4 linked regions of the Styela clava genome follow. The protein of the gene in region 1 interacts with the protein of each later gene in a biochemical or structural test. Links are inferred from orthologs where the notes say so. Each region holds a gene or a part of one and is shown on either strand. Other genes may lie near its edges. The genes, in order: serine/threonine-protein kinase Chk1-like, DNA replication licensing factor mcm2-like, serine/threonine-protein kinase ATR-like and denticleless protein homolog B-like.

The links.
Region 2: the proteins of serine/threonine-protein kinase Chk1-like (region 1) and DNA replication licensing factor mcm2-like form a complex in vitro, tested with the Homo sapiens proteins (2 studies listed by BioGRID, with this or other methods). The link is inferred for Styela clava from reciprocal best matches to the Homo sapiens genes CHEK1 and MCM2.
Region 3: of the proteins of serine/threonine-protein kinase Chk1-like (region 1) and serine/threonine-protein kinase ATR-like, one has a biochemical effect on the other in vitro, tested with the Homo sapiens proteins (7 studies listed by BioGRID, with this or other methods). The link is inferred for Styela clava from reciprocal best matches to the Homo sapiens genes CHEK1 and ATR.
Region 4: of the proteins of serine/threonine-protein kinase Chk1-like (region 1) and denticleless protein homolog B-like, one has a biochemical effect on the other in vitro, tested with the Homo sapiens proteins (2 studies listed by BioGRID). The link is inferred for Styela clava from reciprocal best matches to the Homo sapiens genes CHEK1 and DTL.

Annotation. Positions count from the first base shown.
Region 1 is NC_135256.1:8,813,856-8,822,130, forward strand, and holds the start of serine/threonine-protein kinase Chk1-like, read left to right. Parts: upstream 1-4,816; 5' UTR 4,817-4,836; coding exon 4,837-5,004; intron 5,005-5,306; coding exon 5,307-5,502; intron 5,503-5,578; coding exon 5,579-5,704; intron 5,705-6,189; coding exon 6,190-6,324; intron 6,325-6,704; coding exon 6,705-6,882; intron 6,883-7,400; coding exon 7,401-7,524; intron 7,525-7,980; coding exon 7,981-8,079; intron 8,080-8,275. Other genes in the region: DNA repair protein RAD51 homolog 4-like, read left to right, coding at 1,973-2,944; dnaJ homolog subfamily C member 9-like, read left to right, coding at 3,652-4,440. UniProt on the Homo sapiens protein: Serine/threonine-protein kinase which is required for checkpoint-mediated cell cycle arrest and activation of DNA repair in response to the presence of DNA damage or unreplicated DNA.
Region 2 is NC_135252.1:13,314,855-13,323,488, forward strand, and holds the start of DNA replication licensing factor mcm2-like, read left to right. Parts: upstream 1-5,152; 5' UTR 5,153-5,252; coding exon 5,253-5,411; intron 5,412-8,634. UniProt on the Homo sapiens protein: Acts as a component of the MCM2-7 complex (MCM complex) which is the replicative helicase essential for 'once per cell cycle' DNA replication initiation and elongation in eukaryotic cells.
Region 3 is NC_135260.1:13,862,507-13,870,354, reverse strand, and holds the start of serine/threonine-protein kinase ATR-like, read right to left. Parts: upstream 3,551-7,848; 5' UTR 1,177-3,550; coding exon 1,118-1,176; intron 546-1,117; coding exon 413-545; intron 343-412; exon of another isoform or gene 241-342; coding exon of another isoform or gene 232-240; intron 1-231. Other genes in the region: sodium-coupled monocarboxylate transporter 2-like, read left to right, coding at 6,929-6,989, 7,337-7,440. UniProt on the Homo sapiens protein: Serine/threonine protein kinase which activates checkpoint signaling upon genotoxic stresses such as ionizing radiation (IR), ultraviolet light (UV), or DNA replication stalling, thereby acting as a DNA damage sensor.
Region 4 is NC_135253.1:12,719,134-12,727,315, reverse strand, and holds the start of denticleless protein homolog B-like, read right to left. Parts: upstream 3,184-8,182; 5' UTR 3,001-3,183; coding exon 2,910-3,000; intron 2,540-2,909; coding exon 2,454-2,539; intron 2,313-2,453; coding exon 2,276-2,312; intron 1,687-2,275; coding exon 1,387-1,686; intron 847-1,386; coding exon 680-846; intron 160-679; coding exon 33-159; intron 1-32. Other genes in the region: aspartoacylase-like, read left to right, coding at 5,936-6,880; poly(A)-specific ribonuclease PARN-like, read left to right, coding at 7,579-7,777. UniProt on the Homo sapiens protein: Substrate-specific adapter of a DCX (DDB1-CUL4-X-box) E3 ubiquitin-protein ligase complex required for cell cycle control, DNA damage response and translesion DNA synthesis.

The sequences.
Region 1 (8,275 bases):
TTTAACATGGAGTGTAATTTCTAATAGGCTATATCTGTACATATAAATAACGAGAATTGTAGAACATAAACAAACAAGCAGTGCGCAATATGTGGTAAATAATTTGATTACAAACGCACTCAACTAAACAACAAGGATAAAAGCACCATGAAAGAAAACAACAACAAACGAAGTAAAATATGACAAGTGCATTGCCCTGGCGTTACAACTTCAGTTTTAATCAAAATTTGCTTAGTGCAGTAGTGTAAGTAGTCTTTTTTATGCAATCTACCTTCAAATATTCGTTACAATTGACTGTTCATGTTTTTCCCAGCTTCGACCAGTTTTCCATGATAAACTCCACGCAGGCCAGCAATGCTGGCCCAGCATGATCTGATGCGAACTGATCCATATCGTATCAGTACTGTATCCGACAACATCGTTTTGATTTAAGTTTGTATGTATCTTCTCAGTAGGGTTTATATTCGTCTAATTTCCAAGTTTTCGTCCAAATATTTCCTACTCCAGTATTCCATCGTTGATATTTTACCCGACGGCGGTCTCAACAAGAACAAATAATAGCAGAACAAATAATAGCACGTGTAAATTTATGCATGGGGCGGAGGCATTTGGGTGCATAAATGAGTAGTATGCTTGTATGCCTAATCTAATAATTACTAAAATAAATATATTGGTTGAACGGCCAATCACAACATGGGAATTAATTCTAAATGGACTATATGACATGGAATATCAAAATTGAACAAATGATGTAAATATGAGTAATATGGTTTTCTGTTGTTGTTGTAGCCTATAATCTTTTGTTTTTCTGAATTTTCTATGCAAATGTTTTTTTTTTCTTGGAAAATGGGTACTAATCTGGATCAAATTCGAACAATAATTGGCAAAAATTGAAATAATAGGCTACATTTGGATAAATCAAAACTATCCTATTCACAAATCCGAATTAGAAAAAAAAAATTATTTATTCATTGTCATTCATTTTTCACTCTTCCAGTCTTCAATTCTGCAGTTTCTTCAACACAACTAACTGATTTGATGAAATGTTTTTGTTTCCTTGGCCGAAAAGTTTGTTAGTCGGATTGCGATTAGCTCAATCTGTCAATACGCAATAATAGTCATCTGGTAGTACTGGCAGACCGGTAACGAAGTTTGCTATTCAACTGGTTCATGCCGATGACTGACGGCTAACAATAGTCTGGAAGTAGACAGGATAGGATTTACATAGTTCTGTATTTATCCTTGGGGAGAGGAAAGTTGGTAAGGTGGACCACGACCTCTTGTTTACTCTTGTGGCATAGAGCAGTACGGCACACTATACAGATCGGTTGACATTGTCTCGATTCAGGAAAATCCATTTTACCAATGATCAGACACCCCTCCTTTGGGAGACGTCTGGACGTTGTTGTCCCTCAATATCGGTAAAAATACAGTATAATGATATTGCGCAAAATACTACAAAGAAGCATAATCTAATAACGTCATCATTGAATTCTTCGGGAAAAAATAATCTGATTTACCCAAGAAAAAAAAGCTTGACTTAAGCTTGATAGAATTCTGGAATTGCTGAATTGTGACACACCTGCACACAGCAATGGAAATACAAACAATACAGTGATGAAGGCGGATACATGGAGATAAACTCTATTAACCTGGACATTCAAACATTCTTTGTTTTCAAAATCAAATTAATAAATGATGCACCATGCTTCAGCCTCATTTCATACGAAATATTGGTGTAATCTAAGAATCACATCAACACATATTGACATAGTGATTGATAAGGCAATACTGTTGTAATGCTTCATTTGCCAACCTACATTCTCAGAGTCAGTGGCTTTTCTCCTCTAAAGTCTGTATAGAAAATTCAATTGGTATGCATGGCATGTGAGTTTAACTTACATACCACACTAATCAAAAAAATTTAATCACCATTTTTTACAGATACAATTAGGTCTATATTAAGCAAACAATGCCTCTTCTTCAGGCTGGAATGTGTCCGTTACTGACTGAAAGTATAGTTGCAAAACTAGCTTCTAATGGAGTAAAAAGAGTATTGGATTTTATTTGTACGGAACCAAGTAAAATTACATCTCAGTGTGAGGTTCAATATAAAACTGTTTTATCGATACGACGTGTATTGCTTGCTGAATATTCATCATTTCCCTTGAATGGTTTGAATCTATATGAAGAATCAATTGCTACCCTTTCAATTCTTTCAACAAATTGTACAGAGTTGGATGATCTTTTATCATCTGGTATATTTACTGGAGAAGTGACTGAAATCTGCGGTTCATCTGCAGCTGGAAAAACACAATTATGCACGGGGCTTGCAATCAATATAGCTGCCTCGTTAAAGCAAAATGTGATATATATTGACTGCAGCTCTGGTTTTTCCCCAGAAAGGGCTGCTCAAATGATTAAAACAAATTTTGGTGAGACGTTATCACATATTAGAGTATGTAAATGCACATCAACTTATCATCTCCTTGACATATTATCAATGATTCGTGGAAATTTAAACTCACATGATACTGGCTTCACCTTAAGCTTGAAAGCAATTATCATTGATTCCTTATCAGCTGTTTTACTCTCTGATTTGAAAAATTTATCATATGTTGAAGGACAATCTCTGGCAACATCAATAAAAAAAGAAATTAATGCCATAGCGAAAGATTTTACTCTAGCTGTTGTAGTTACTACAAACACATATTTTAATATTGATTCTGACTCTTCTCCAAATGCTGGATTTGGTCATTCGTGGAATTCTGCTGTAGCGACGCGAATATATTTATCCAAATCTAATGTTTTGAAAAATGTAAATGATAATTCAATAGAACATGGAATTATACCTATTAAAGTTACTGTGTTCAAATCTCACCATGCAAAAATAGGTGCTAGTATTAACTTACAGTTAACTGAAAAAGGTTTTTGTCCACTATAGCAGGGCTGCATATGAAAATGTCCGCTATTTGAAATAAATTTAGCTGTAAAGGTTTCTGTCCCCTGTGGTAGTGTTGTATATTCAAATGTTTCATATTTAAAATGTTTTGTGTTGAAATTGTGTTATAATCTTTTTTTCATATTGTTTATATCTAAATTATTTTGGCGTAATGTTTAGTAAATGCATTGTCTCAACTTGTTTTTATTATGACCTTCACATACACATCATCTTCTGCGAAGTATTGAATTTTCTACTCCTCGATTATCAAGAAATGTTTTGCTTTCGTGTGACTGTTTTGTTCTGCTCATTAAGAGCCTTGTTAGAAGTAGCATGGATACTATTATAGCTTGAGGTTTACCGCTGCATTTTTCATTCCAAATATGTAACAATTATTCGGAACACTTTCTATGACTAATTTAGTGATGTATGACATGGATCTGATTCTAATCTTAACATGGTAGGTAGACCTCAGATATAGATTAGGTGACATATGACACTTGGCAGTGGACTTCATGCTATAGTAGCACCAATTCATGTTCCCAAAACAATCATATTAAATTGATTGATAAATTGACCGACTTTTATCTGAAAGACATATCTTTAAGTTGGTTCACCTCTCTAGAGACTTGGGGGGGTTATAATTTCTCTATTGCCTATTTTTGTAACTAATTGATTATTTTGTTCTTTGGTAGAATAGAAAACATAAAATGTCTTTTTTGGAGCAATGCGAGGAACAGTTTGGGTCAAAAGACTTGTATAATGTGTTGAATGTATCAAAGGATGCATCAGAAAAACAAATCAAAGCGGCTTATCGTAAAATGTCTTTGAAGGTTCATCCTGATAGGGTAACTGAAGAAGAGAAAGCACTTGCTACTGAAAAATTCCAAATTTTAGGAAAAGTCTATAGCGTACTTTCTGATGAAGAACGTCGGAAAGTTTATGATGAAAGTGGATGTGTAGATAATGAAATTGACAGCGACATTTTTAATTGGAAACAATTTTGGTCGTCAAGATTTGGAAATTTAAACGATGCCATTAAAGAGTTTACTGATGAATACTGGGGCTCGGAAAAGGAAAAAGATGACTTAAAAAAAGCTTATGAGGAATATAAAGGTGATATGAATAAAATAATACAAAATATGTATTGTAGAGCTTTAGATCATGAACAACGATATAGAGAACTGATTGAAGAATGGATCAAAGCTAAGGAATTGCCAAACTATGATAAATTCTCTAAAGAAACCAAAGCAAAACGTTTAGCACGAAAACGTAAATACGAGAAAGAAGCAAAGCATGCAGAAAAAAATGCGAAAGTTTTTGAAAAAGAAATGGGAGATTCCATATCTGACATAGCAAGTATCATTGCCCAAAGAAATGAGGATCGGATGAAGAAACAAGAAGCATTTCTAGACCAAATAGCTGCTAAATATGTGAAACCGAAAAAAGCAAACAGCAAAAAGAAAAAACCTGGCACCAGTAAAAAGAAATCCCCATGAAAATGGTTCATTCCAAAAGTCCCAAGTTCAAAATACTTAATAAAATGTTGAGCTGAATTAACAGTACAAAAATGATCCTATACTGTTTTCAGTAATTGAGAGCAAATTTCTACAGTTTATCAGTTCTACTGTACTATTGCTATAACTTACATACACTTGCATATTTATCTACGTATATTCATGCTTCACAGTGCATGCGTAACAGTGCTGCAGAGGAATTGAAACACTTTTCCTAGTATCATAAATTTATTTTGTCGTTATTAAGACCTAATAATAATACTCGTATTTGTTAATTTTCGTTATTTGAATTCTTCTTTTTGTTCTTTCATTTTTGCAGTAATTTCACTATCTAATCCATGAGATTTTTCAAGCTATTATTGTGTTTAAAAAAATAAGATGACTGCTGCAGCAGTGCCATTTGTAGATGGATGGGATTTCGTTCAAACACTCGGAGAAGGTGCGTATGGTGAGGTTAAACTCGCTATTAACTCAGGAAATGATGAAGCAGTTGCTGTCAAGATAATTGACCTAAAGAAAGCACAAGATGCAGCAGCAATGGATCTGGTAAGATTTTGATAGTAAGAGATTCTCGTGTAATTTTCTTCTAAATAAATATTCAGTTGACCCAAGAGGGTTCGTGCTGTTGCCATAGTCCGATTGGCTCATCATCATAGTATTTCTTTCATCAGGGCATTTCTTACACTCCTAATCGCTCCACATAGGATTTGATTATACTATTAATCTAAAAGGGTGAATACAATTGGAATAACAAGCAAATTTCTACCTTGTAGCACAATGTGTTAACCATCAGTAATTACGGTATGTTATTTAGCATACTGTAAAATTTTGTATCGTGAATTCATCAGATTCGTAAAGAAGTTGGAATACACAAAATGTTGGATCATAAACACATTGTGAAATGTTACGGTACAAGAAAAGAGACAACACATCAATATATATTTCTGGCATATGCAAGTGGTGGAGAATTATTTGATAAGATTGAACCAGATATTGGAATGCCTCCTTCACACGCGCAATCATATTTTAGGCAATTAATTTCAGGTATAAAATCATTTCTTTGAAAAATTATCTTTTCAACTAGTAATTAACATAATTAGTATTTATGTTAATCTTCCAGGTGTTGAATACCTGCATTCTCTTGGAGTGACACACCGTGATATCAAACCAGAAAATTTACTTCTCGATGGAAATAACATTCTTAAGATTGTTGATTTTGGTTTAGCAACAATATTCAGACACAAAGGTAATTTGAAATATATTGCATTAGCTATAGACAGCATTGTGGAATTGGTAGTGTTTTGGTCAAACAAGAACGGAATGAGAGTTCAAATAGCTTGGAATCTGGGGTGGTCTGCGTCAATAGTAAATAGTTCATAGACTCCTCTAAGCCTTGGTGGAACTTAGATACCCTCTGCACATGTTCCAAGAGCTGTTTTGAAATAGCAATGGCTCGTTTCTTCCATTCTTCGAGTTTGGCTCCCCGGTTCTCCCTGTTGTACCAACAATTAAGCTATGTGCTGTTAATGAATTTACAACAGAAAGCAATTGTGATGTACCATGGGATTGTGGTTCTCCCCCAGTAGTTGCCGTTATTCTGACTCGACTATTAATAATAGATAATATTTTAATCATGCTTCTTTTAGGCATGGGCCATATACATATTTTGTCAGAGCAAAATTATTTAAATAAATACCCTAAATTAAATTGTTTATAACTACTCACTCACAGGTAGAGAAAGATTAATCAATAGATGTTGTGGAACACCACCTTATGTCGCACCAGAAGTATTAGTACAAGAACCTTATCATGCCGAACCTGCAGATGTGTGGTCATGTGCAATAGTATTGGTCGCCATGTTAGCAGGTATGTAGGAGAAATATCTATATCAATGAATAGAATAAAAGATAAAGTGAGGTTGATATGTCAAATGTATATGGTGCATTTATTTGCCATAGAAGTTAACATTAGTACCAGATCACCTATATACGTCTTGTCATTTCCCAGCACATTTCATGTGATATGTCCTTGTTAGACATTCCGGGTTAGGATAGCATTTTCTAAATCATAGGCAAACTACAGCGTCTCATCCAGTTGCGTATGAGAATAGCATTGATAATCTTTAAATATACAATCTGAGTGATTCTAAATTACAAGCATCCAAGTACATCGTAGGATAATTTTTGCTGTTTGTTTTTTACATATTCTTGACAACTAAATTTTGGATTGGGAAATGTTTTCTTCAGGTGAACTGCCATGGGATGAACCAAGTGATGGATGCCAAGAATATTGTGATTGGTTAGACAGAAAAGTCCAATTATCACCTTGGAATAAAATTGATACAATACCTCTGGCCCTATTGAGGAGAGTATTGGTCGAATCTCCTGAAAAACGTGCAACTATTGCAACTGTGAAAAAGGACAGGTATGATTAAAATTTTCTTTTATAATTATCAAGAATAGCACGAAAATTTTTCTTAATTTGAGTATCAGTCAACTATATATAGTATTTACTGACTGTAAAAGTGATGATTCAGCACTTGTCCTTGCTTTACAATGGTTCGTGGAAGCTACATTAAAACTGAACTTCTCAATGTCGTCATTTTAAAGAAAATCGCCTAAACTAAACTGGTACACACATCTCCTATGTACTCCCAACAATTCATATCATTCATTTCACCATAATAATTCCCACTATTTGCTTGTTGATTTATATCTATGAAGCATAGGTGGCTGAAACCGAATTTTCCCTTATTTTGAATACTTTTGAAACAGTATTTTTAAATTTGGAATTTAGTTGGTCGAAATAGAGGTTTGCACTAATTAATTTAACATTATATTCAAAAAAATTAGATGTACATCATATTACTTATTGAGAATAGTAAATTATTTGGTACCCACTATGATTAATATGTGTGAAAGCTACATAACATATTCGAACAGATGGTTTGTGAAACCTCTACCATTCAAAAGAAGATCGTCATCATCATTTGACAATTCACCACTCGCAAAACGACTGCTGACTGAATCAGGATCAATCATTATTGCAGTGCAAGATAGGGATGCAGTAAGAACAAATATTTATGTGTACAAGTTAACATCACATGATTGCCTGCATTTGCAAAAGTACATTTTGCACTGCAAGTTCAAGATGTCAATCATTCACTAAAAGTTAAGGTTAATTGAAGTAGTGTGTAACTTTCTACTTCTTCCTCCTATCTGCCTTGTGTTAGTGATTAGTATGCTTCAAGGATATATTAGCAGGAATTAAAATGAGTATATCAAATGGTTCAAAGGGATTGATTCACAAATTTATTGCAATGCTGCATTTATTTCTAATTTACTTGTGCAAGAAAGAACAAAGCCCCGCCCCCGTACATCAAACTCCTGAAGAATAATCACATGTACATCTAGCTCTGAGGTCAACTCAGGGTTTACCAATCAAAATTCAGCGAAAACCTATTTATGGTATATTTGTCAACATCAACAGTATTGATTACTGAATATTTTTTTATTTTATTAGCTTTCTGTCACACAACCTGAACCTCAACTTAACAGCAGTTGCAATGAAATATCTACAGTATCAGTAGACAATTTACTAACTCATGCTTGCTTGTCACAGGTAAAATTCATTTTCTGTTAATTTCTTCAAGATTATATTTTTGTTGTTCGTCTGCATTCACAAATCGGGCTATAGCATGTGTTTGTAATGCACAAAATTTGGGGGCAAATCCCACTGCAAGCTCATGTCAAATATTTCTGTCCAAACAGGACATTCTTCTTGTTTAAAAATGAATCTGAGGCAGTAATACTATGAA
Region 2 (8,634 bases), on another chromosome or scaffold:
AGTTGTGATCTGAGGTATTTGTCAAACCGAAGCAAAAACCAGTGGCAGACTTTTGCAACAGTCTCTCATCATATATAGGAAAATTTCAACAAACAATATACAAATGTGAAATGATACAAATAAATATATATTAAAAAAAAGCTTTAAAAAGAGTGTGATTTGGGGTAATTAGCCCAAGGATGAACGTATGACCCAATTTGGAAGTGTTGTCTGGACAGAAATTGGTTGTCATGTCAACCGATAATCGAAGATATTTTATTTTTTTCTGGTGCTTTCACCTTTACACCGAAGATTTTAAACAATTGGGACAAAGTCTGACGATTCTCGAGAATCGATTCTAGCGTAAATATATACTACTGCGGATTCTAGTACTGGTAATAGTATCACCCTAATATCAATAAAGTTATGCCTTAAAGTCTTTTGGCGAATTTTATTCATAACTAGGCCCTGTACGACCAGCAATTGATATGCAAAAAACTACTCTTTATTAAATACTGAAAAAAAAATAAAACAGTTTTTTTCAACCTTTCAACCTTATTCCTTTTTATCGGGCCTCGTATCACTTCGCTTTCGATTTTTTTTTTATTCAGAGGTTTACAAGGGGAGAAAACGCTTTCTTTCTTCACAAATTTAGCGAGCTTCATCCTTCGTGAAAAATAAAATACACATTTTTGTGAGCTATACCATCATACGTCCTCCGCATAAAGCGATAATTTGCAACCGTTCATATAATCCGTTGGTGCTTAAACTAAATTGATTTTTTTTGCCAAGAGCACGTTCCTGACAATATAATAATTATATATACATGTTGGGCAATGTTACAATCACCGGTTTGCCATAGTATAATGTCTCATTTGTATTCAATAAAGTCGACACGAGGGCTTATATTCTAACCACAACACAATATTGATTTTATTCATATTATTGAACTTGATAAATTTAATAATGTAAAACAAGATATGTACGTATAAACCCGTTTGTATGTAGTGCAATTACCGGTCAAAGGGACTTCAAATGTTCAGTGCATAAAGATGTAATGATAGTCGCTAAATGCATGGTCCCGTTATTTTACCCAGAGTTGTGCTGTTTTAATGGGCATGAAATCTCCAAATGGTTCTGATATTTCATGTATTGGCCTATGAGAGTAGCGGAGGCCAACGTATTTCCAATTCTTAATAAAATATACCAATCCAAATGCCCATTGTGGGCTATATTTTATGAATTAGAACAACGGAAATCTTAATAGTTCAAACAGAAAGATCTTTTTTGTCCCCTATTGTTCTTTTGTCATACTTATTTTCTAAGCGCAAGGTAAATGGGCTAATGCTGTGGTAACTGAACCGCCGTTGACGCCAGACTCAACAACACTTTGCTCCACGTAGCGCTAAGTTTTTATTATTGATATTACGCTATAAAACACAATCACGATGGTAAATTTCGCATTGAAAGTGTGATTTGACGTATTTGTCAAACCGAAGGAAAAACTAATTGCAGACTTGTAACAATATACAAATTGCTAATGGACAATGTGAAATGATACAAATGAATAAATAGAAAAAAAAAATCTGAACAAAAATGTGATTTGTCGTTATTAGTTTAAGAAATGGATGTGTGACTCCTTTTAGCAGTGTTGTTGGACAGAAATTGCTTGTCTTGTTAAATGATAATCAAAGATATTTTATCTTTCATCCATTTATTGGGACACCTCTAAACATTCCCGACCATCTATTTTGGTGGGATTACTCCACGAACGGCGTATGATATGGTACTAGTGCCACCCTAATATCATTACATATTTGCCTTAATTATTGAATACCGAAAATAAAATAAAACAGTCCTTTTTTCAAAGTTACTTTTTTGCTATCGGGCCTTATACCCTTTGTGTTTCGATTTTTGTGTTCAGGGGTTTACATGGGGAAAAACGCCTTCACTCCTCACAACTTCAGCAATCTTTGTCTTTCTGATAAGAAAAATGCCAAATTTTGTGACCTATACCGTCATCCGTATGACGCGATTATTTTCAGATTCTCTTGTGGTTCATACCTGAATTGGATTTCTTGTCAATAGCGCGTTCCTGGCAATAAAATAATTATACATGTATGGCAAAGTTATTACAAATCATCGGTTTGCCGTAATATATTGTCTCATTTGTATTCATTAAAGTCGACTTGGAGGGCTTATATTCTAACCACAAAGTGATATTGAAATTTAATAATGTAAAACTTGATATTTATGTATGTGAAAACCTGTTTTGAACATTTTAGATATAACGTCTTATCGAGTCTGCTGTGAGATAAACTTTAATAGATCGTTTTGGTAAGTTCTATGGTAAGTTGATGGTGATGTGAAAAATTGCAATTAATGGGCAAATGGACTTCAATTGTTCAGCACATAAAGATGAAACGATAGTCGCTAAATGGCAATTCATTTTAATATTTTTTATTATATTCGATTCTCCGGGGCCTGTTATTTGATCCAACGATTTGCTGATTTTTGGACACGAAGTCTTCATATGGTTCTTATATTTCGTGTATTGGGCTTTGGGAGGTGCGAAAGTCAACGTATTTCTATTTCTCGATAAAATAAGCCATTCCAAAGGACCATTGTGTATGTGTCTTGTATTTATCTGAATCGGATTATTTATTTTTCCCGCGTTTATAAACATTGGATGTTGACGAAAGGAACATTTGACTCCGTTGACGAAAAGGGCATTTCGTGAATCGCTGCTCGAATACCTACTGTGTGAAGAAAGTTGACGTAGGATAGAATAGGATTTTCATATTCATTACAGGAGTGAAGAAAGCCGATCATATGTTTGCTAACGGACTCCGATAACGAAAGGGACATTTCGTGTATGGTTGCTCGAGGACATACTGTTTGATTAAATTTTCGTGGGATAGGATAGGATTTTCATATTCATTACAGTAGTGAAAAAAGCCGATCATATGTTTGCTAACGGACTCCGATAACGAAAGGGACATTTCGTGTATGGTTGCTCGAGGACATACTGTTTGATTAGATTTTCGTGGGATAGGATAGGATTTTGATACTTATCACAGGGAAATGAACCCGCACACAGGGTAATATCAGATGTGGTGGCGAGCGTATTCCGGACGCTAAGCACGATGCGCCACACCCACGAGCCGCGCTCACTTGTTCACATACATTTTTAATGCGTTTCTGTTTTTCGGTTGGTATAACAATAAATTATATTTATCTTCTTCATCGTGATTCCTATTTTTATCGATAATTAGCTGTTTAAGTTTTCAATGAATTGCACGAACGATTGCGGGTGTAAACAAATGCAAAAATTGAAACTGATCACCAAGCACGGACACCCTGAAAAATCTATCAAGACCAATACAAAAAACAAAAACAGAGAAGAACACAATTAAAACAAACGTTGCTTTTTTTTGTTTTGGCAGAGTTTGCACTCATTGTTGGGGCAGATTTTCAGCAAGTGCCCACAAAAAATTACATCGAACGCAAAATATCTTTCTTTCTTCATCTACCCTTATAATTAAACTACATTATGTTTTTTTTATCGTTAACTTTGTTGATCACTTTAACGTGAATGCTCTATATTCCAGTAGGAGAGAAAGATTTTATTACCACAAACATTGTCAACAGTGTGGACTCAACACTATGATACATTTGAAGTAATTGAAAAAATATATATAACTTTACAATAATTGGTTGATACCTATTTGTGAGGATCAGTATGCCAGACCAGTTAGGTCGCCGAGGCCTCTGGTCCATGCTGTATATAAACAAGGGAGCTGTGCTCAAATATGTGAACACGTCACATGGTGTCGCTATTTTTTATTCTGACACATAAAAAACGAATCTCTTGAAGTCCACAGAAATTTTTGAAATAAGTAAAAGTAATAGCCTTCTGGCAAAAAATCAAACTTTAACAACTGAAAATTTCAAAGCAATTGGTCCAGTATTTAAAGAGAAAGCGATTTCGTCATGACGAAAGAGAAGAATAATACTAACAAGAGAGCTGTGCTCAAATATATGTACACGTCACAAAGTGTCGCTATTTTTTATTCTGACAAATAAAAAACGATTCTCTTGAAGTCCACAGAAATTTTTAAAATAAGTAAAAGTAATAGCCTTCTGGCAAAAAAATAAATCTTTAACCACTGAAAATTTCAAAGCAATTGGTCCAGTATTCGAAGAGGAAAGCGATTTCATCATGACGAAAGAGAAGTATAATACTAACAAGAACAACAACATTAGTGATGAAATATCGATAAAATAGAAATAAATATTTTCAAGTTAATAATGCAAGTCGTGATGTTAATAGGTCACGTGGAGTTTCTGAGTCCGGCCAGGTCCATAGAATCAGAACAATTATCAAGGGCTTAGATTAGTTTTTATAAATATTTATAATAGTTTTTGTAATTAAATAATTATTGGACCGGGTCAGGCTTTAATACACAGAGAAAAAATAAGGAGGCAATCGGATTATCACAGATACAACAATAATGATAGATAGGAAGTACTATTAACAATGGCTTTTTGGTGGAAAACAATAATAAAGTACATTGTAGTAGTTTGTGTCAGAAGAAAGAAAACATTTGAGTAGCCTATACTTTTACAAAAATTGAAAGTGGCTCGTGACCTTTAATATACAGTTTTATTACGGAATGGTTAAATTTATAGTATTATAATACAGTGAATACAGTGTTCGGAACATCTACTTTAAAGAATATTAAACTTAATATTTTTATCAAGATAATCATTATTCAAGATATTAAGACAAATTTGAGTATTCAAGGAGGGAGAACTTTTTTCAGTTTCTTATCGAAAACATGCACATAACTTTTTTGGAACCCTTTACGGGTCGGGAGCCAAGAGCCTCTATTTGTTTTGCAGAATGACCCACATAAATTGATGTGGTCCAAAAATGTGGATTTTATACATACTACTGTATACACTTACTTGATAATGTCAGTAATAATGTTATTCATGTAATAAAACCTCTCCCCGGTCATGGATATGGGCGGGTTTTAGGAGAACCGTTGCGAATGTAAATATTTTTTGCCGCAACAAGTCACGTGTCTCTCAGTGGCGGGAATCAGCTGTTGTTAGAAGTCATGCCGCGAGCCTTTGCTGTACTTTTCGTTTGTGGTGCTCGTTCGTGTATTTGTCTGTCGTTTTCATTCAATAATTTCTGAATGTGTTGTTTTTAGTATAATTTATTTTTAATATAGCCTAGCCTAATTTGTGAAGTTATTTTCACTATGGCTGATGACAGCATGAACGGAATACCATCCGACCCAAGAACCCCTATCAGCGACCCGGTCAGTCCAAGCAGCAGGGGAGCGCCTTTTGCATCAAGTCCAGGAGGTGCAGAAGATCTTCCACCATTTCAAGATGAGAGTGAAGCTGATGCTTTATTGGTGAGTATTTTGAGTAAGAGTTTTCAGTTTGGAATTTACCTGTTGATTCTGTAAAAAGGCACCGAGCTAATTCAATTTTGCACGCCAAAAATTTGCAATTGCTCACCAATGAAAATCGGTTTAAATGGTTTTAAATCAATAATCCAGTACCGGTAATATAGAAAAGCCAACAAACTGTAGCTCTACAATTGTCGACTACATAACACTGAGCTTGCAAGATTCTGAGATTTGGCCTGATCGAAAAATGTTAGTGACGAAGTATAGAAATAATATTCGGAGTCAAAGGTCAAACGTCCATTCTGTTATGATTCAACATATTTTTTATTCAATAATTCTACGTAAAAACACTCCCAAAATTAACGGATTATTGACAAAGTATGTTCATTTTGCTCTGATATAACGTATTTTTTATCCAATAATTTTACGGGGATGTACTGAACAGTACCGGTATCAAGTTAATCACAGTATAATAAACTTATACTTAGGCTATATACTAAGTCGCACAAACACTCAAGATTAATGACAAGTATAGAAATAATGTTTATGGGTCAAAGGTCAAACGTCCATATTTGCTCTGATTCGACGTATTTTGTATCCCATAATTTTACGTGGATGTATTGAACAGTATCAAAATCAGTTGCACGCGGGCGCAGTTGTTTTGCACGAAGTAAGCTATAATTGCACGCCTGGAATTCTGATTTGCACGCCGGAATTTCTGATTGCACGCCCGATTTCTTATTCAAAACGGCCATGAAATCCAGACTTGGGTAGGGTGGTGTAGCCAGTCTGCGGACGATTTCATTCAAACCGCTATAAAACAAAAACCAATATTTCTAACCCGTAAAGGTGCATTGGCATTTATTCTACACGCTAAACCTCTAACTTTCTACGGCCAGGGGTTCTACGGTCATATATTTTAAGAACACGGTTATTTCGAACAAAACTCGTCAAATTATAAACAAAGCACCGCATCACAGCAATCAAACAGACAAAAACACGGTGGTCGCAAATTGGTCGACAAAGATATTATCGGCGTATTGGAAATGCGCTCCCCCTATTCCTACTCCTTTGAATGTAAAAACGCGAAACTTTAAAGATAGTTAAAATAAACACAACTCTACCCACCTGCCAAGTTTCATCTTTCTATCTCTTATATTTGTATGGTTTTTCAAGCTTTTTTGAAGGGACAATGACTAGTTGGCGACATGGAAAATGATCCCGTTTTTTTTCTTCGGTCGGGTTTTTGGTCGTAACTTTTTTGTTTGTGGCCGCATTTTAGTGTAATTTCGCAGAGCTACGAGGGATAAGTGGACGATAACGCGTGAGAAATATCGTCGCGATTCGTTAATTTTTTCGGCAATAATTTAATCGATGAAGTTGATGGTCGCAAATAGGTCATGGCCGCAAAGTGGGTAAGCCACCCTAGCTCTAGGTCAGTCTGTAGCTGCATAGAACAAAAATATTACTGGTCTATGAAATGGAATCTTCCGGTATATCATCACCCTGTACCTGAAAAACTAATTTAGTATTCAAAGCAGTAAAATCATTCCTCTAAATACAAAGCGATGAGAATGCATACTTCATAACTGTCATAATTTTTAAATGCCAAATAAACACAGAAACAGGAATCCCTATCAGTCTGAAATAAAAATGGGTCAGAATACGGTATGGCGCATTTATTCGATTCCAAGAATAGCCACATTAAAGGACATCAAACCCCTCATTTATGAGACAGTCTGGGCCCCGATATTGGCATAAATTGGCAAAGCAGCTTTGCACAATATACTAAAAGGAAGTGCAATCTAAAATCGTCACCTTTGGATTTCTTGGTTTAGTTTAAAATTTACTGTAAAATTTTCAGCAAAAAAATGCAATTTGGGTCATGTGACGACCCCGCGATTAATAGGCTTGCACGTAATTGACAAAAATCAATTCCGTAATTACGGCAAAATCAATTACGTAATGACCCCGTAATTGCGATATTTTTCCATGCATTTAAACCTATCATAACAACCAATTGAATCCTCTTCTTTTCCGAATGGAACATTGAAGTTGGGTTTTCATATTCTTGGCAGTACTACACGCCGTCGGCAGATGTTAAAGGCAAATATCAAGGAGTGAATTCAAATTAATTTTATTCTGATTTTTATCTTTTGTGTTAGCTTTGGTTTTCCTTTATCACCTTCGCAAATTAACCGTCCCATTTTTATGCGATCAATTTTATTTTATTATTACCGACACTGGTATACGGATATTTATGGAAACGATAGTTTTTTAAAACCACCTTAGTGCTGAATAAAAATTACGGGTTTCTAATTTATTAACTAACGACGAGCGTATTCTCTCGTTTGATTATACTTGCGATTTCCTCGCGACGAAGACTTGTTTTTGCAGCGTCTTCTGCATTATCCGATATTACTGCCTTGTTAGCATTTTATAATAATAAATATTGATGTCGACTTATTGACGATATTCCGATTACCATGTTTCATTTTACATTCAATCATTTCGCGGACTGAATGTTTATAACATTATTTGCGATAAATTTAAGATCAAATATTATTTATTTGAGTATAATTTAAATATGGAACTTATATGATATGCCTTCTCCGAAAACACAAAGTTATATCGCAAAACAATGCATTTTGTGACATTTATTTTACACTCACGACATTTATTTGCTAACTCAAGTCGTCGATCCTATCGGCCAAGATTGACACAAGTTTGGTCGAGTGCCGGTGGTATTCAAGTCGACGATAAATCAAATTAAGTTGCCGCATTTGGTAAGACAGTTAATCATATAGGGCCGAAATATTGAGAGGAATTGTGAAAAACATCATGAGCAAGGCCAAGTCCGGACTGATATATAACGATAAAACCGTTAACAGAACATCAAGATTTTGTAATAGAAAATGGATCTCGCACAGAATAAACACACTGGCTCATATTTGATTATGTATGATCCGTCGTTTTGCTGTTTCTCTGCCGTCTCAATCGCTTTACCGATGCCGAGAAGACGAAGTTGCGTTGGTTCATTACGCAATCTCTCTTTTGTCGTCATATTGCTATTTGATAAGCGCGACATTAATTATCACGGCGAGGTATTGGCGCGAGTGATCAATCGCTCTTTTCGCTTATTCGGTTCCAATTCGTCGCGAAAGCTCTTCGTTAAATTTCACAAGATCGTCGTGCTGAAATGTTATGGATATTTTCCTGTTTATAC
Region 3 (7,848 bases), on another chromosome or scaffold:
AGTATAAAACAAAAAAATCTCCTTCACTCACCTTGATCAACCAACAATGCAGAAATACAAATAGAAAAACTAACCTAGACAAAGCAGGTTTGGATCAAAAAATGAACAAACAAAAAACAAATACAGCAGTAAAAAATAACTGGGCTATCGTACTAAAATCTAAACTTTGAGATGTTTCTAAGCTCTGCTTTTGTTATAATTATTAACTCACTATCCACTATTATTACACACCTCGGTCATATCATATGACAACTTATCAGCCTATTGTCCGTCCATGTTGGCTATAAGGATAATAACAGTTGGGCCTATTCGTTTCGGATGTATTTCATTAAAATTTATTTAAGTTCCCTGAATATGACAACGACATGTATTAGACTGTATACATAATAATTCAAGCATACTAATAATTTACTTGGGAAGTTTTTCCCTTTGCTTTTTCAAGTTCTTTAAAAATTGAATTAACATCTGTCAAATGATGATGAATAATCATCTTCAAACTTTCACGAATCTTCACACATTTTGTTACAAGTTGTTCTGGAGGCAAACTGTGGACGACAATAATTCGATGAATAAATATGTACAAAGAAAAGTAGAAAAAAACTTCCTGAATTCAGAAAGCCTAATTAAGGACAATGAATGTTTCACAATTGGCTACTTCGAATGAGATGTTTTCTTTGATAAGGCTTCGCAATGCGTTTAAATATTGCATTTTTGATATGGCCGATATGGGTAAATCTAATTTTGACAAGATTCGAATTTTGTATCAATATCAGGATATGGAATGGATATTAGCAAGCAAATTTTTCATGCCATCATTTTGTGAATTTGATAGATGAATATTGAAAAAAATCAAAATCAAATAAAAAATAGGACTAGATCATTTGAAAAGATGCCGCTACTACATGGCAGGTAAGGTTTTAATTCTTTTTCTCTATCAGTATTTATCAAGACTGTAAATAGATAAAATTATGCATTTGGTTATAATGTTGAGATATTTCATACAATCCAATGCAGTGTAGCTGTCCAGCAAACCATTATTCACTACATTTAACCTATCCATGAGAATATCTCCTAACCAAATTCTGAATTTTCGAGAAAATATAACATTAGTACATACCTTGAAATATTTTCATAATCTGCTACAATGCTACTCAGAATTTCTCCGATAGCAGCCATTATTCAAGATGGAAAATAAACAAATTAATGAATGAATGAAGAATCTTGAGTTTATACAATATGAATGACGAGTATTTCATACGCTTCCAAACTTTCTAGCTCCAAAGTTGTCGAAGATATTGAGATATGTCAAAATCAAGTCAAAATCCCAAGACTAAACTCATTACCATAATCAATGCCTACTCCAGTATTCCCCAGTTCCATTTGCTGATTCAATAGTTTCACACTTTATATCCAATCGTTCAGTCGTTAATTATGTTGAAAATAGAGACGTTCCCATGTTCAAAAGTTATATATGATTCAGTTATTACAGTATTGAAATAATTTACCGACAAAAATTTAATATTATTAATATGATGCAAGACAGACAGATCATTTGGCAGTTTGGCAATACCATAACGGCATAATAGAATACTGGAATATTGAAATGCAGCACCATACTGCCATAACACTGTACAGACTGGAGTCTGCTGGTCAGGGAGTCAGTACGGTGGGTCTCATTGGCTTTTCTGCTTTCACCATATTATTCCATTCAGACTCTTGTCGGGTGCGGACATGTCTGCTTGAAAAGACTAGAGAATGCTACGCGCTGTATCGTATGTTTCGGTATTTGTATCGCGTAATATCAACACGTTTCAGAGAATCCTATTTTAAATAGAAATCGAAGCCCCTTCCTCGAGAGACGTATGGCGGCTAATTCTCTCCATATCGGTAAAGATACAGTAAAACGAAGTTGCGTATTGAACTAAAAATAAGCGCCAAGCTTAGACCATCACCATTGAATTCCTCGGAAACAAATAATCAGATCCACCAAAGGAGAAAAAATTTTACCGAAGCGATTGAGAGAAATAAGCAAAAAACGATCGGCGGCGTGTGCCATGACTGAATTTCAATCGATGCACGCAGGCACGCATCGGCCGTTCCTCGACGCAAACCTTGGCTTGGCGTGTTTCTCTCATTTTCAATGTAAATAGGATGGCGTGTTAACAATAATAAATGGATCAGAGATAATAAAAATTACATTTTGATAACACCATATATCATATTTTATGTTCTTTCGTACACCTACAATCAATAAACAGTAAATTTAATGCCTCGATGCAGCATTGGATGAATAAGTTTATAAAGCAATAATACAATCTAATGACGCAAAGAGAGATTCATATGTCGCAAAATGCGTAATTTATACAAAAATAGATCGGAAAAACAAGAATAAAATTAGCAAAATAATTTAATATCATGCCGCATCGATGTAATCATACGCCGCAAATCAGTGAAAAACAAGATTCAAATTAATATAATGCCCCATCGATACATTCATATGTCGCAAATGTTTAACTTAGCATTAGTCTATGTGGTACCATCACTCAATGGTATTGTACTTATAGTAACTAATTACTATATTTAGGGTGACTTACCCACTTTGCGGCCATGACCTATCTGCGACCATCAACTTCATCGATTAAATTAATGCCGAAAAAATTAACGAACCGCGACGATATTTCTCACGCGTTATCGTCCACTTATCCCTCGTAGCTCTGCGAAATTACACTAAAATGCGGCCACAAATAAAAAAGTTACGACCGAAAACCTGACCGAAGAAAAAAAAACGGACCATTTTACCATGTCGCCAACTACCCATTGTTCCTTCAAAAAAGCTTGAAAATCCAAACAAATATAAGAGATAAAGAGATGAAACTTGGCAGGTGGGTAGAGTTGTGTTTCTTTTAACCATCTTTAAAGTTTCGCGTTTCTACATTCAAAGGAGGGGGAGTAGGGGGGTGCGCATTTCCAATACTTCAATAATATCTTTGTCAACTAATTTGCGACCACCATGTTTTTGTCAGTTTGATTGCTGTGATGCGGTGCTTTGTTTATAATTTGAAGAATTTTGTTCGAAATACCCGTGTTCTTAAAATATATGACGGTCAGAAATGCAATTAGAAGCCCATTTTTTCACGCATGGCTGCGTACCGTATGCCCTAGTCTCGACGCAGCAGAAACGATGTTCAAGGCTTAAAATCCGTGATCGCACACTGGTCGTTCGGTCGCAAAAACGTCTTCAGAGTGTCATACTTTGGTGGTTTGTATAACTTTAACCCCTGGTCGTAGAAAGTTAATTCGAAGTTCAGCGTGTGGAATAAATGCCAATGCACCTACGGTGAAAAAATTAACGAGTTAGAAATATTGGTTTTTGTTTTATAGCGGTTTGAATGAAATCGTCCGCAGACTGGCTACACCACCCTACATGCAGTGTGTTTCATGTTGTGTTGTGTCTCTATTTATACAGTTATACGGTAGATGTTGTTTTGTTATACAAACTCCTTTGTACAAACAGTTTTGTATACTCCACCCTTACCCCTGTTACCACTCCCACCCACCCTCCTTGCACAACTGTCTCTGTCTGTATAAAGGACCATATTATACATAGTCTATTTGATTTACCTTATTACAGTATTACCGGTACTGTATTATAATCAAAAGGGGTGTAGACTATGCCGCACATTCGTGTTTTAGGCCAGTATGGTCTTGTGCATCCATCCCGTCTTCAGTATTTATAATTACTAATTCTTTTATATTGCTTTTACGAGACGAATAAACATACATACATATCCTAAACTAAGAATTCACTGTCACCTTTAATTAAAAACTTAGCCCAATGCCGCCACTATTTACGCATGAACGATTCCTTGCAAAACATAAGGAAATGACCGCCTGGAGGTGTAAGAGTGAGCCAATCTCCACTGCGATTCATCGTAAATATAGCCGTGCCTAACTGGTTGGTTAATATTCAACTTGAAAAGAAAATAAATAGAACTAACGTGTAAGCGCAACGCGACTTGCTTTAATTATTTACTTGAATAATTGATAACTTCAGCTTTCATACCCGACTGCTTTCGTTATTGGACACGAAATGTAAACATGGATCGTCTTGTCATTATGTTGTTGTTGTTGGTATTTATCTCCTTATTGTCATGGAAAAAAATCACTTTTCTCCTGAACTACTGAACCAATTACTTTGAAATTCTCAGTGGTTGAAGATTCTACTTTTTGCTAGGAGGATATCATTTTTAATTATTTCCAAATATTCCGTGGGATCTATGTGATTCGTTTTTCACTTCGATATTTTATGTGATGACCTCTTCAAAGTGATTAAAAAATATTTGTGGGGGTTCTGCGACCTACCTCATGCTACGCTAAAGTCGGCTTCACTTTGGCTTTCGTGTCCTTATATTTTAGCATCGCTCTCTTGTTCTTATGCAGTATTTCATATAACTTTTTTGGTTATTTTTTTATTGTTTGTTTTACTTTTAATGTTTATAAGTCGAATGTTTTTTTATAACTTTCTTGAATTCAACACAAATTTTAGTTAAAGAAATATGCCGTAAACAAAAGAATCAGATTTCAATACGAAACACGATGGTTGTTCGTCAAAGGGTTCATCGAATCTCGTGCTATAAAACTAGATAATCATCAACCGCGCCATTGATCGTTAAAATAGCAGAACTGAATACCGAACTCGAAAAATGATATCTAATAATTCAAACGAATCTGTAAACAAAAAATATCAAATTTGAAAACACCGTGTCTCACACACAAAGTATCCATTCCATTTCTGTTGCTGATTGTGTAAGGTGCAGTAATCGGTGTTGCGACAATCTGACGAGTTAATTTCGCAAACTAGTAATAGGGCTACGAACAAACATCATCTTTTACGCATTGGTATTGTTTAAAGACACATGTAAAAAATGGGTAAATATAAAAAATGACGAACAATGTGCGAAAATTTGAAACCTAAGATTTTCAAATACTAATATCGTTATAGTTAATAGGTGTGATATCGTTAAAAATAAATCTTCTGCATATCTCTAGGTAATGTATTGGAAATTTAAACACATACGAATATAGAGAAGTTGCTGCCAAATTAAACTTTGATATTTGAAGTATTAAACGGGCTCCCTGATTATGTCGTCATTACGACGAACTAAATTTTTGCACTTGGGATTATTTGAGAGGACTCGTAAAAATAAAGACGAATTTTTAAGCGATGAACTCGGTAAATACGAGCTTCCGTGAGAATTCACAAAAATAATTAATGTATGGCGTAGTTCCAAGACATTTGTAAATATAGGTTCCGACTGCCTGTTCGTTGCCAGGCAATACATTAGAAAAATGAAAAGTTTAACGGCAAATACGGTAGTCTATATATATATAAGAGATGTTATTCATTAACATCGCCTCAGTATAAACTTCGTGATTTGATTCTGCGGTTTATTATGTAAAATTTTAGACTATTTGCCAGGATTTTATTTTTATATTCAAAGTTTGAATTAATGAAAGCTAAATTAATTGGCACGTAAGGTGAGCTTACCAACCTACTTCATGCATTGTGAACAAATAATAAAATCAATGAGTTCCAGGCTCAATCCAATTATAAGCTTTCCTTCACAGAATATTAGTCGCAGATTGATCGCATGATAGAGTTGACTGTGTATTGGTTGCAAATGTTTTTATACCCTAAAATTTGCAAGCCGAATCGTTTGTCGCTCTCTGACGGTAACTAAGCTTAGACAAGATATCAATTGAAATACATGACAAAAATATGACATGAACGTGCTTCGACGACAAACACAAATTATAATCAATGAAAACGCAGTTTTAAAGAGTTACCGTAACTTGCGCATCTGTGAATCAATGCATAAACTTACGTGACAGATGACTTCACTGCTCACAACATCTGAGTTGGAATAAGTTTATGAACAAAACCAGTTGCAAATCGTCGAAATACATGGGTTTTAAAGTGAAAAATATGGGATATAATAGCAATTAGCATTAACTATTGCCTTTAGTCCGGACGTCCGCTGTCTTGCTCAACAAGAAATTCAAAAGAAAGAAATCCCGATTCCTTCATAGTGTAGTTAACTAGTTTCGTTTGATTAATGATGGCATTTAATTACCACTTGTCCCCAATATTAGAATGGAATCAGTGCCGCAAATGGGAGTACTGTTTATCCTTCATTCGAGAACACATTTCAATAAACGAATGCTTGATGAGGAAAAGAGTGGGCCATTATCCTTAGTTTAGATTATTGTAGATCTCTGGTTGATGTATATATATATTAGAAATTTAATCACATACGAAGATAGAGAAGTTGCTGCCAAATTAAACTTTGGTAATTGAAGTATTAAATATCTGATTATGTCGTCAATACGACGGATTAAATTTTTGCAATTGTGATTATTTTAGATGACTCGTAGTAGAATCTATTCCAGAGCAATATATTACGCAAAAATCATAATTATATACATATGTACATATAATGATGGTATCTTTTAGATATTTATCTGATGTGGATTTTGTGATGAAGCATATATATATTGAGATATTGTCATTAAAATAATGTTGAGTATCCCAATTCGACAGCACGTACAGTACGGTACTGATGTAGCCTACCTCGCGCATTTATTATCTGTAAGGACCAACATTTTATTGCAACTCTCTGTTACTGCCTGCGCATGTTTATTGTAGTGCACTCATCACCTTCGATGTGTCTAGCTTTAGGTGATTGATGAGGATAACCCAAACAAAACTGTGCAGCAGACAGACGTTCATCGTGCCAATCAAGAGGTTCTTCCGCCAGCATTTTATTACGTTTTATGAGACGTGCTTTCATATATATATATATATTTCTATAGGGCGACAGATATATAATTTTTTAAATCAAAGCTTGGACGAATAACACGTAACATTATGGATTCAACTGATAATGCGAAGAAATGGTTTGGTGCGGTGGATTTTACAGTTTTTGCAAGTGAGTAACTTTACTATTAGACACAACCATATTAGTCCATGTGGAGGAATTCATGAATAACCTTAGCATGTATTTTTTCATGAAATTACTTATAAAAAACATTATTTGAATTGCTAATAATTATGTAATTTTCAAACCAAAATATTGCACTTTTGGTCGAAATGCCTCTTTAACGGCAAAACAAGTTTCTTCAGCAATGAATAATTTGTGAGTTTCAAACTTTTGATGAATTTACGCCAAACAGATATTACCCATGTTTTTTCATAACATTTTTGCAAGAAAAAAGACTAGAAATTTCCTTTTGGCAGCAGGGAATCGTACACACTAATAATATTTTTGTTTTTCAGTTTTTCTTGCTCTATCCACTTTCATTGGCGTTTTCTTCGCGTTCAGAGATAGAAAAAACAACACAACTGCCAACTACTACTTTGCTGGAAAAAAATCGAATCCTGTATGATCATTATTCTCTTTTATTCTTCAGTAATACTCGATGCATTTATATTTTTCTACCAAATGAATTGTATTGATAATGAAGTTTGAACTCCAACTGCCACGCAGTCTTACTCATTTTAAATCATGTCTTTTCATCTAGCGAATCACTCATTCATTTTAGTCAATAGGTGACACCGTGCATCCCTCAAAATGAAAGAAACTCGTTTCCGATATGATCTTAATAACTTTGAATTTATTGTTAGGCAACTGTATTGATAGTATTATATATATATAATACAAGTACAGGTAAAATGGAAAATGTGCAGTCCAAATTTTGTGAAAGTCAAACCGATGCATTCGCGATAACCCGTTAGCCAACTGTATTAATAGTATATTATTTATAATAGGGCCTACAAGTACAGGTGAA
Region 4 (8,182 bases), on another chromosome or scaffold:
GCACACTAAGAGGGTAGTAGGATAATAATTACCCGTCGTCTTCTTCTTTGTTTGAATTTTTCTCAAATCCCAAATCTTCAGCATTCCATCCATTGCTCCTGATGTTATCACTGTGTTGCTGTCTTGAAATTTCGCTGACGAAACAGTCTGTCGAGAATCCTAATATTCAAACATAAGATGTCAACTAATAATGATTCAACTTTTAAGTCTTCGTGCAATTGCTGGTCGGGGAGGCCATTCTCTCTATGTAATTTTAAAGGTAGATAATGCTATATTACAACAAAAACAAACATCTTATGTACGGTATCTATGATTGTTTCTGGACAAAATAAACTAGATTTCATGAAAAATACTTGATTTCTATGAATAATTCTTGAAGTTGTGTTGCTTTAGTTTCACTTTGCATAGATTTATCAAAAGTGGTAAATTCAGCATTGTATGTGCTGGGTTTACGTTTGAAAAGAAGACATACTGCAGTAGTACTTATAAAGTTTTATAACTGTCGATAAATTTTCCAGAATAAAATAAAATTTGAATAAACATTTTCCTTTCATTTCGTCAAATTTAATCCAGTATGTAGTGGCCCTCTTTTGGTTTTTAATGTGAAAGTACATATATCATTCGCTCATCAGCAATGAATTTCAAAAAGTATTTTGCGAGTCGCGACAATAAAACTTACTATGGCCAATTGTCCAGTGTCTACCGCTAATGCTCTTCTTCGTTTTCTCATCGGTGTTAAAGAATCATTAATCACATGAGCATCCTGGATTCTAACAACAGGTTGTGATGAAGTTCGACGATCCCATATCAATGCATTCCCATCTCTTGATCCTGTTGCTAGGAGATCTGTTGAACAATACCATAAATAGAGTAAAGCAGAACTGTGGAGTCTGGAGTCGTAGTTTCAAACTTGAATGTCAAAATTCTGCATTTTATGATGTCAGAATTGCATATTTCCAAGGTGATAAAATAACAAATTCTACAGAACGCCAAAGTTTTCATTATCAAAATTGCACTTTCTCGGAGTTCAATGCTGGAGCCAAATCTTTCAAAACTATGAATCAGGAGTCTGAGCCAAAATTTTGTTCATCTGAAAGTTGATTGTAAATGTTCTCAGAATCCACAGCTTGTTTTCAAGATACAGAAATGCATAAATTGTAATCGGGATAAATAGGCTAAATTGCCATCAGGAAAGGCACAAATTGAACCTTGCATATATGTAAAATTTTCTCACATCGAAAAAAACATAGATGAAAAATACTTCTTTCAAAATGATCACATGATTGACATGAATAAATAGATAAAAGAAAAAAATGTGTTGGGGGGAACATTGTGCTTGAACAGGAATAGATTCAATGAGGATGTTTGATTGGATAACATACTTACTCAAATTGTGCTTAGACACATTCACAGATTTCAAACTACAACTGTGTCCCTTGAAAACAGTTATGACTTCTCCTTTTAGTGTGTCCCATAATGCAGCTGTTTGATCACCAGATGCAGTTGCTAGAGAATGTTCGTGAGGAATCCATGCAATATCAAATATAGCATTGTTGTGTGCCTCAAGTTTATGCAGTGGCCTCAATACTTTATCAGCATCATTTCCCAGTACTGGTTCATTAGCAATGAAAAGAGATACGATTCCATTTTCATCTGCCACTGCAAATGTATGCTCACTGCCGGAAGCTTAAAAATAATACTTATTGAAGTTAAGAAATCCATGCCATGTATTTGTTTTGGTAAATGAGTACAATCTTGATAATACCCCACCACTGATTTGAATGTTGATTCTGATTATTTCAAGCAAGCTTAGGATAATTTAAAGGCAAGGCAATAATCTAACCCAAGATTTAGCCTACATATTCATCCTGGGAAGGGTAAGCCGATAAGACGGCTTCATCATATGGAAAACCACGGGCTCTCGTCCAGATACCAGTCCACGTCGAGTATGGGATTAGCCAGTTATTTATTTTCCGAAGCATGGACTTGATGGTGAAGGAAGCTGTAACCGACCAGCGGTTACGTTGACCACCCTACAGCGGCGAGGAGTCCAGCAATCCACTCGCACATAACTATTTCTGCACGGGATTCGAACATGCGAACCCTCGCAAGGTAATCAGAGATGTGGTAGCAAGCGTATTGCTAACGCTTGGCACGATGCGCCACACCGCCAAGCCGAAATCAAATTAGAAAGGGAAAATACCAGAATAAAGACCTAAAATGTAATCAAATAAAATCAAAAACGAATCACTTAAAGAAAAGTTGTGGAACATACCTGTACAAAATTCAACTGTGTATGGGGGTACTTCCGGCTGAAACAAATAAAAATAATCTATTCTAAAACATGTAATATTTTTTGATATTGAAAAATTGTGTTTTGCATAAAAATCGCTGAAAGCGATGTTTGTTTTTTCCAAATACCAGATTAAACTAATTGTAATTAAATTCGTTACCTCAAGTTCCCCAGGAACGACATATTTCTGATTATTGGCACAAAATATGTCTTGCATGTGATGTTGATTGAAACTATTGACAAAATCTAAACAAGAATCGTAGAAATATATTAAAGCAGATGAAAAATTACAATAAGATGATATCTGCAATCTATATTATATTATAATGTAATTTTCAGATTTTGTAAAATAACGTAGTACAGCAGTACGGTATCAGGCGATATTCTGATATTTCATATCAGTATTACGTTCAAACAATTGGAAAAATCAATATCTTCTACCTTATCTTCGTCTCATGATACTGTCAGACTGTGACATACAGTCAGACAGTGTACTTGATATATTTAAATCCGAGCTGCAATGAGACCAAGAATATTTGCAGATTTATTAACATTGTGTCATCACATCACGGAAAGTTAAAAAAGGGATGGCATATGATATGAAGAAATACCTGACCTTTTTCGTTATAGTTGACGCATTTTCGATATCTCGTATTTGACATTCCAATCTGACGAATAAATGTTAATTTTCCCACGTTAAACGCCATGACAGCATAACATGCAAATTCCACTTAATACAGAAGATGAAATATAAGATAGAGCTACAGATGCGGTACCGGTAGCGTGGTTTAAACGCGATGCTGTGACAGCAAAATGCAAACAACTGAACACAGAAGTAACCGGTAGTAAAAAGTAACAGAAGTACCGTGATGGTGGCAATTATGTAGGCTACTACACAGAAGTAACCGACGGTAAATCACCAAGAGAAAAAAAATCGGCGTCGGCGCCTTCCGTCTTTGCAGCGTTTGGATTTCCCGCTGTTCACGCGAATTGTCGGGTCATGGGTCATACTAATTACTGAGAAGGACAGTATGGAAACAACAGAACCAACTTGAGAGAGTGCGCGATATATTGTTTCGTCAACTAGAAAACAAGCATTGTAACAACAACAATAAAAATATACAACATACACAAAGTTATTCGGTACAAACTATATATATGTATATGTTGCGTATTATAAATTTACGGTTCATGAAACATGTCGCACAACTGTGTCTTACACCAGTAAGGTCTTGAACACGTATCACGGTATAACAGCAGTTTAGGATTTCTGCGTAATAGTTGGGCAACAGACATGAAATTGATGAAACATACAAATGAATCTTTAGTACAATACACAAAACAGAGAGGTGCAGATGTACCAGTATCCGTTTGTGTTGAATTCGTAGTCATTTTCCGGGTTGTTTAGGTTTGGCATAACTATATACACACACCAATTGTGTCAAATTTAAATGCGGTTTTTACGATAATGTAAGATATAGAGTGTCCCGATTGAAATATGTCCGTGATTTCCATTTTATTTTTTCATACGACGCTTACTCGCATGCTTTGCTCCGAACAAGGCCCTGTGGAAGCAGTTACATATATCGATATGTAAGGAGCTACTGCTATTTGTAAGAGCTAGAATCGTCCCGGTTCGAAAATGCTTATCTAATTTATTGCACTCCATGCAATGCGATACCAACATCAATAAAATTAGAGCCTACTTCACCTATGCAATAATATATATGCTTAATTTGCATATGTTTTTGCGAAAACTATAATGATGTCAGTTCTCATAAATTTTAATATGTTAGATATACGCTGACGTTTCATATTTTACTGACATTAGAGGCATAGTGGTATTTTCACATTCCGTAAACTGAGACGAAAAAGGCTAAATTGTAATAGTCCCAACTAATTCAAACTTTATCCCGATATCAAGTCTTGTTCTTTTCTACCTAGATCCAGTAATCGGATGAAACGTCACACTCCTGGCATAAACGTAGACATTTTATTTTCACCTATCTTTACTTTTTCTTCAGTGTTATTTTATGACAATTAAAAAATGCTGCAAACAATCTGATAAAAAACAGTATCAGATAAAAAAAAAATGGACATGCTTTTGAAAAAGAATTAGTGCATTGAGCAATTTCAACGAATATTGATATTTCCTCTTGTTTTTTATCCTGCGAACATTATGCCCACCACTGAGCCTTCCTATCGCCTCGTATGGGTAGGCCTATATTGCGCCCGCAACTAAGCGTTGGTGATGAATCGTCTGTCGATCTTTTAGGAAAAACGATACCCGAAAAAATCTCCTTTCGCGCATTTATCGGATTAATCGAATTTAATTTTTCAGTACTTAAAATGGAGAAGTCGCCAATAGCCTATTACTATTAAATACAGTTTCAAATTTTATCTTACTGTGTTTCTCTGAAATATTTCTTTCGAAAAATAACACTAGGGCTTTATTTGAGGGGATGCTTTTTATTTTAATTTATTAAAAACAAAATTACGAAGTAGAAAATTACGAGGTTTTCTAATATACAAAATTTGAAAATTGATTGCCATTTACCTACAAATAACACGTTTTAATTCAGAATAAATGCTGAACATAGATTATTAATCATTCAAAACGTGTATGATAGATTTCTTGCTATGGACTAGGACTCAGCGTTTCTCCAAACTGTGTTACGCAGCGTCTTCCGAGTGTTCCGTGGAAAATGAATCAAAAATACATCTGAAGTGGTCGACATGACGATCTCGGGATCGCGTGAAGTTGTCGCCATACTGACGACCGTTTAATATCGAGTCACCGTCGGACTAACTTCTTGAGGGTAGTGGTATTTTCGTTAACCGTCGGCCTAGCTTTTTGACAAGTTCATTATTGAGTTTACAGCAATCTTTTTGGTTTTGCAATAGGCAAACATCGCTAAACTCGATCCAGCAGATAAATAAACTGCATCTTGCTAAATTGCAGCAAATATCTCTATCTCCATTGTTACGTAACATTAGAGGCAAACATTACGTAATGGAAAGGTAAAATGAATTCATTGATTCATATACACAGCATTTAAATAAGAAACAATAAAACATTTATAATAAATGCAATATGTAAAAATTCAATCATATATAGTAGGTATGTTAATTAAGTTTTCGGCATTCTATTGGTAAGTGATTGAATATTTTAAATCAAATAGTTGCTTTCAGCTTGTAATCAACTTTTAATTATTGCAACTAAACTGAATGTCTTCGGAAGGCATGATTCCAAATAAGACATTTGATTTACAACTATTTTTCGGAAACACAACTGAAAACTGAGAAATACCAACACGCAAAACACAAAACGAGGCAATGTTTACAACCATTCTTTAATATCTGTTTGAGCCAAAGAAGTGTCTGAGTGGCCGCATAAATTCCAATTGTTACTTCAATGTTGCCGTATTGCTGATTGGTCATTGTTACGGCAATAAACAAGGAATTCGATGTTCAGGGAAACATCCATTCATTTACGGGCAAGATTAAGAAATAAATCTATGGGGTCAAAGTTCGGGGGAACAGTGACCAAATGAGAATTTGCTTTTTATCGGCGTTGCAAATACGCAAGGTAATCACAAAAAGTTTCTCAATTATCTTGGCAAACTTTTAAATTCAAAGATTATGGCTTCCATGAAACAAATTTGCATATTTGGAGGAATGCATGGCAATGAGATGTCCGGTGTTCATTTGGTGAGAAAATGGGAGAAAAATCCAGAATCAGTTACCAGATCAACCTTCCAAACAAAAATGTTAATTGCTAATCCAATTGCTGTGAAATTGGTTAGACGGTATAAGGATGTGGATTTAAACAGGCAAATGTCTCCTGAAAATTTTAAAGTTGAAATAAATGAAAACACACCCTATGAAGTTAGAAGAGCAAAAGAACTGAAAGGAATGTTGAGTGAAGGTGGAGAAATTGGCGAATGTGAATTTATACTTGATTTACACAATACAACAGCAAATAATAAAGTTAGTCTCCTTCACATGGAATCGAATGACTTTAATATGCATTTAATGCATTATGTATCAACACATTTACCAGAGGGAATGTGTTATATTATGTCCCTTGCTGGCAATGTGAGTTATGATTCTGGTAGAGGATTAGGAAAATATGGGGGAGTTGGTATAGAAGTTGGTCCCCAGCCACAAGGTGTGTTGCGAGCTGACATAATGTCTTTGCAAGAGTCATCAGTTCACTTTGCTCTTGACTTCATTGAAAACTATAACAATGGTGAGGAATTTCCAGAAGTCAATTTTTCAGCATACGAAGCTGTTACAAAAATACCGTACCCACAAGATGTGGAAGGTCATCTTACTGCAATGATTCATCCAAGTCTTCAAGATCAAGATTGGAAATTGTTGACGTTGAACGATCCTGTATTTTTGTCTTTTGATGGCAATGTTCTTTATCTCAAAGACGTAATAGAGGATTCGAGTAGCGGTCCATTTTACCCAGCGTTTATTAATGAGGCAGCATATTATGAAAAAGGCATTGCATTTTATTTGACCACTCAGTATAATGTATGTGCTAAAAAGCTATCGAAAAAATCATTTGAATTTCAGTGAATATTTTTTGATTGCCAGTTATCTATTCAAGATTAATATGTATGTATTCAAGAGCAGGGAATTATTTTTTTATTATAAAATTGCAGTTTCTATGAATTAAAATGCATTATGCTATCTGTTTGTCTGAATATGTTAATATCTGTTTCGTTTTTGTCCAGTTATTTTGCATAAAATATTGCCAAAACCATTGCATCTTTAGCATGGTGTGTTTAATTACCTATTAACAATTGAGTATATTTGAGTAAGTTAGGAAAATTGGAACAATTCTTTCTGCACATTAATATTGAATTCCTATCTTTCCTTATTAACGAAATGGTACAATAAACCAAAGTATTTGCTATTTAAGTATGACCTTACAAATATTACATTTTAGCAATCATCGATCATATGTGCCAAAGTGTTTTAATTTACTTTTAATCAATATTTTTCTCCCTAATAACCCTTCATAAAATAAACTGACAATTTAAAATTATGTCCTACCTTTTTATTAACTAGTTCAAATTTTGCAATAATTCGGTACTTCAATTGTGCAATATGATTCGAATTATATATTATTATCAGCATGTATCATCAATCATATATATTCATATGATTATCATATAAACATATATGATTCAAATTATTGATAATAAAACGAGGTGTTCATTGTTACAATCTCAATGTTTTCCAGTATTTAGAAATTAATTCGATCAATAAAAATGGATATTACCAGGCATAATTTCAAGGAAACGTATGAAATTGTTGAAAAAGCAGTTTCAGAAGCAAATTTTGTTGCCGTGGATGGTGAATTTTCTGGAGTTACTAATTCAACGTTCAATTTGACTAATTATGATTCACCTGAAGAAAGATATCACAAGTTAAAGCATAATGTCGCTGATTTTTTACTTATGCAGTTTGGTAAGTGTACTGTAGCTATCTATTATTTCCCACTTTTGAATACATATTTCGGCGCTCCCGAAGTATTGTACCAAGATGACGCACAACCTGAAAACCCCTAACCTGGTACACATACTATGTTCAGGTTGTGTGTCATTTTGGTATGAATACTTCTGGAACACCCATATTTCTGTATTTATGATTTCTGTATATCCACGCAAAGTTACTTTTTCTCAATGTCATCTGATTTCATAATGTATCTGTAACAAATAATGGGTTAACTATTTCCATACCAGACATGAGGTCGTAACCGACCGTGGTTAGGGGTTGTATGAATATTGAGCCATCTTATCACCTAATATAAAAATCCTGCTCTCATCTAGCCGAAATTTTGTTTTTGTAAAATTTAGTTATGGATTAAGCTAA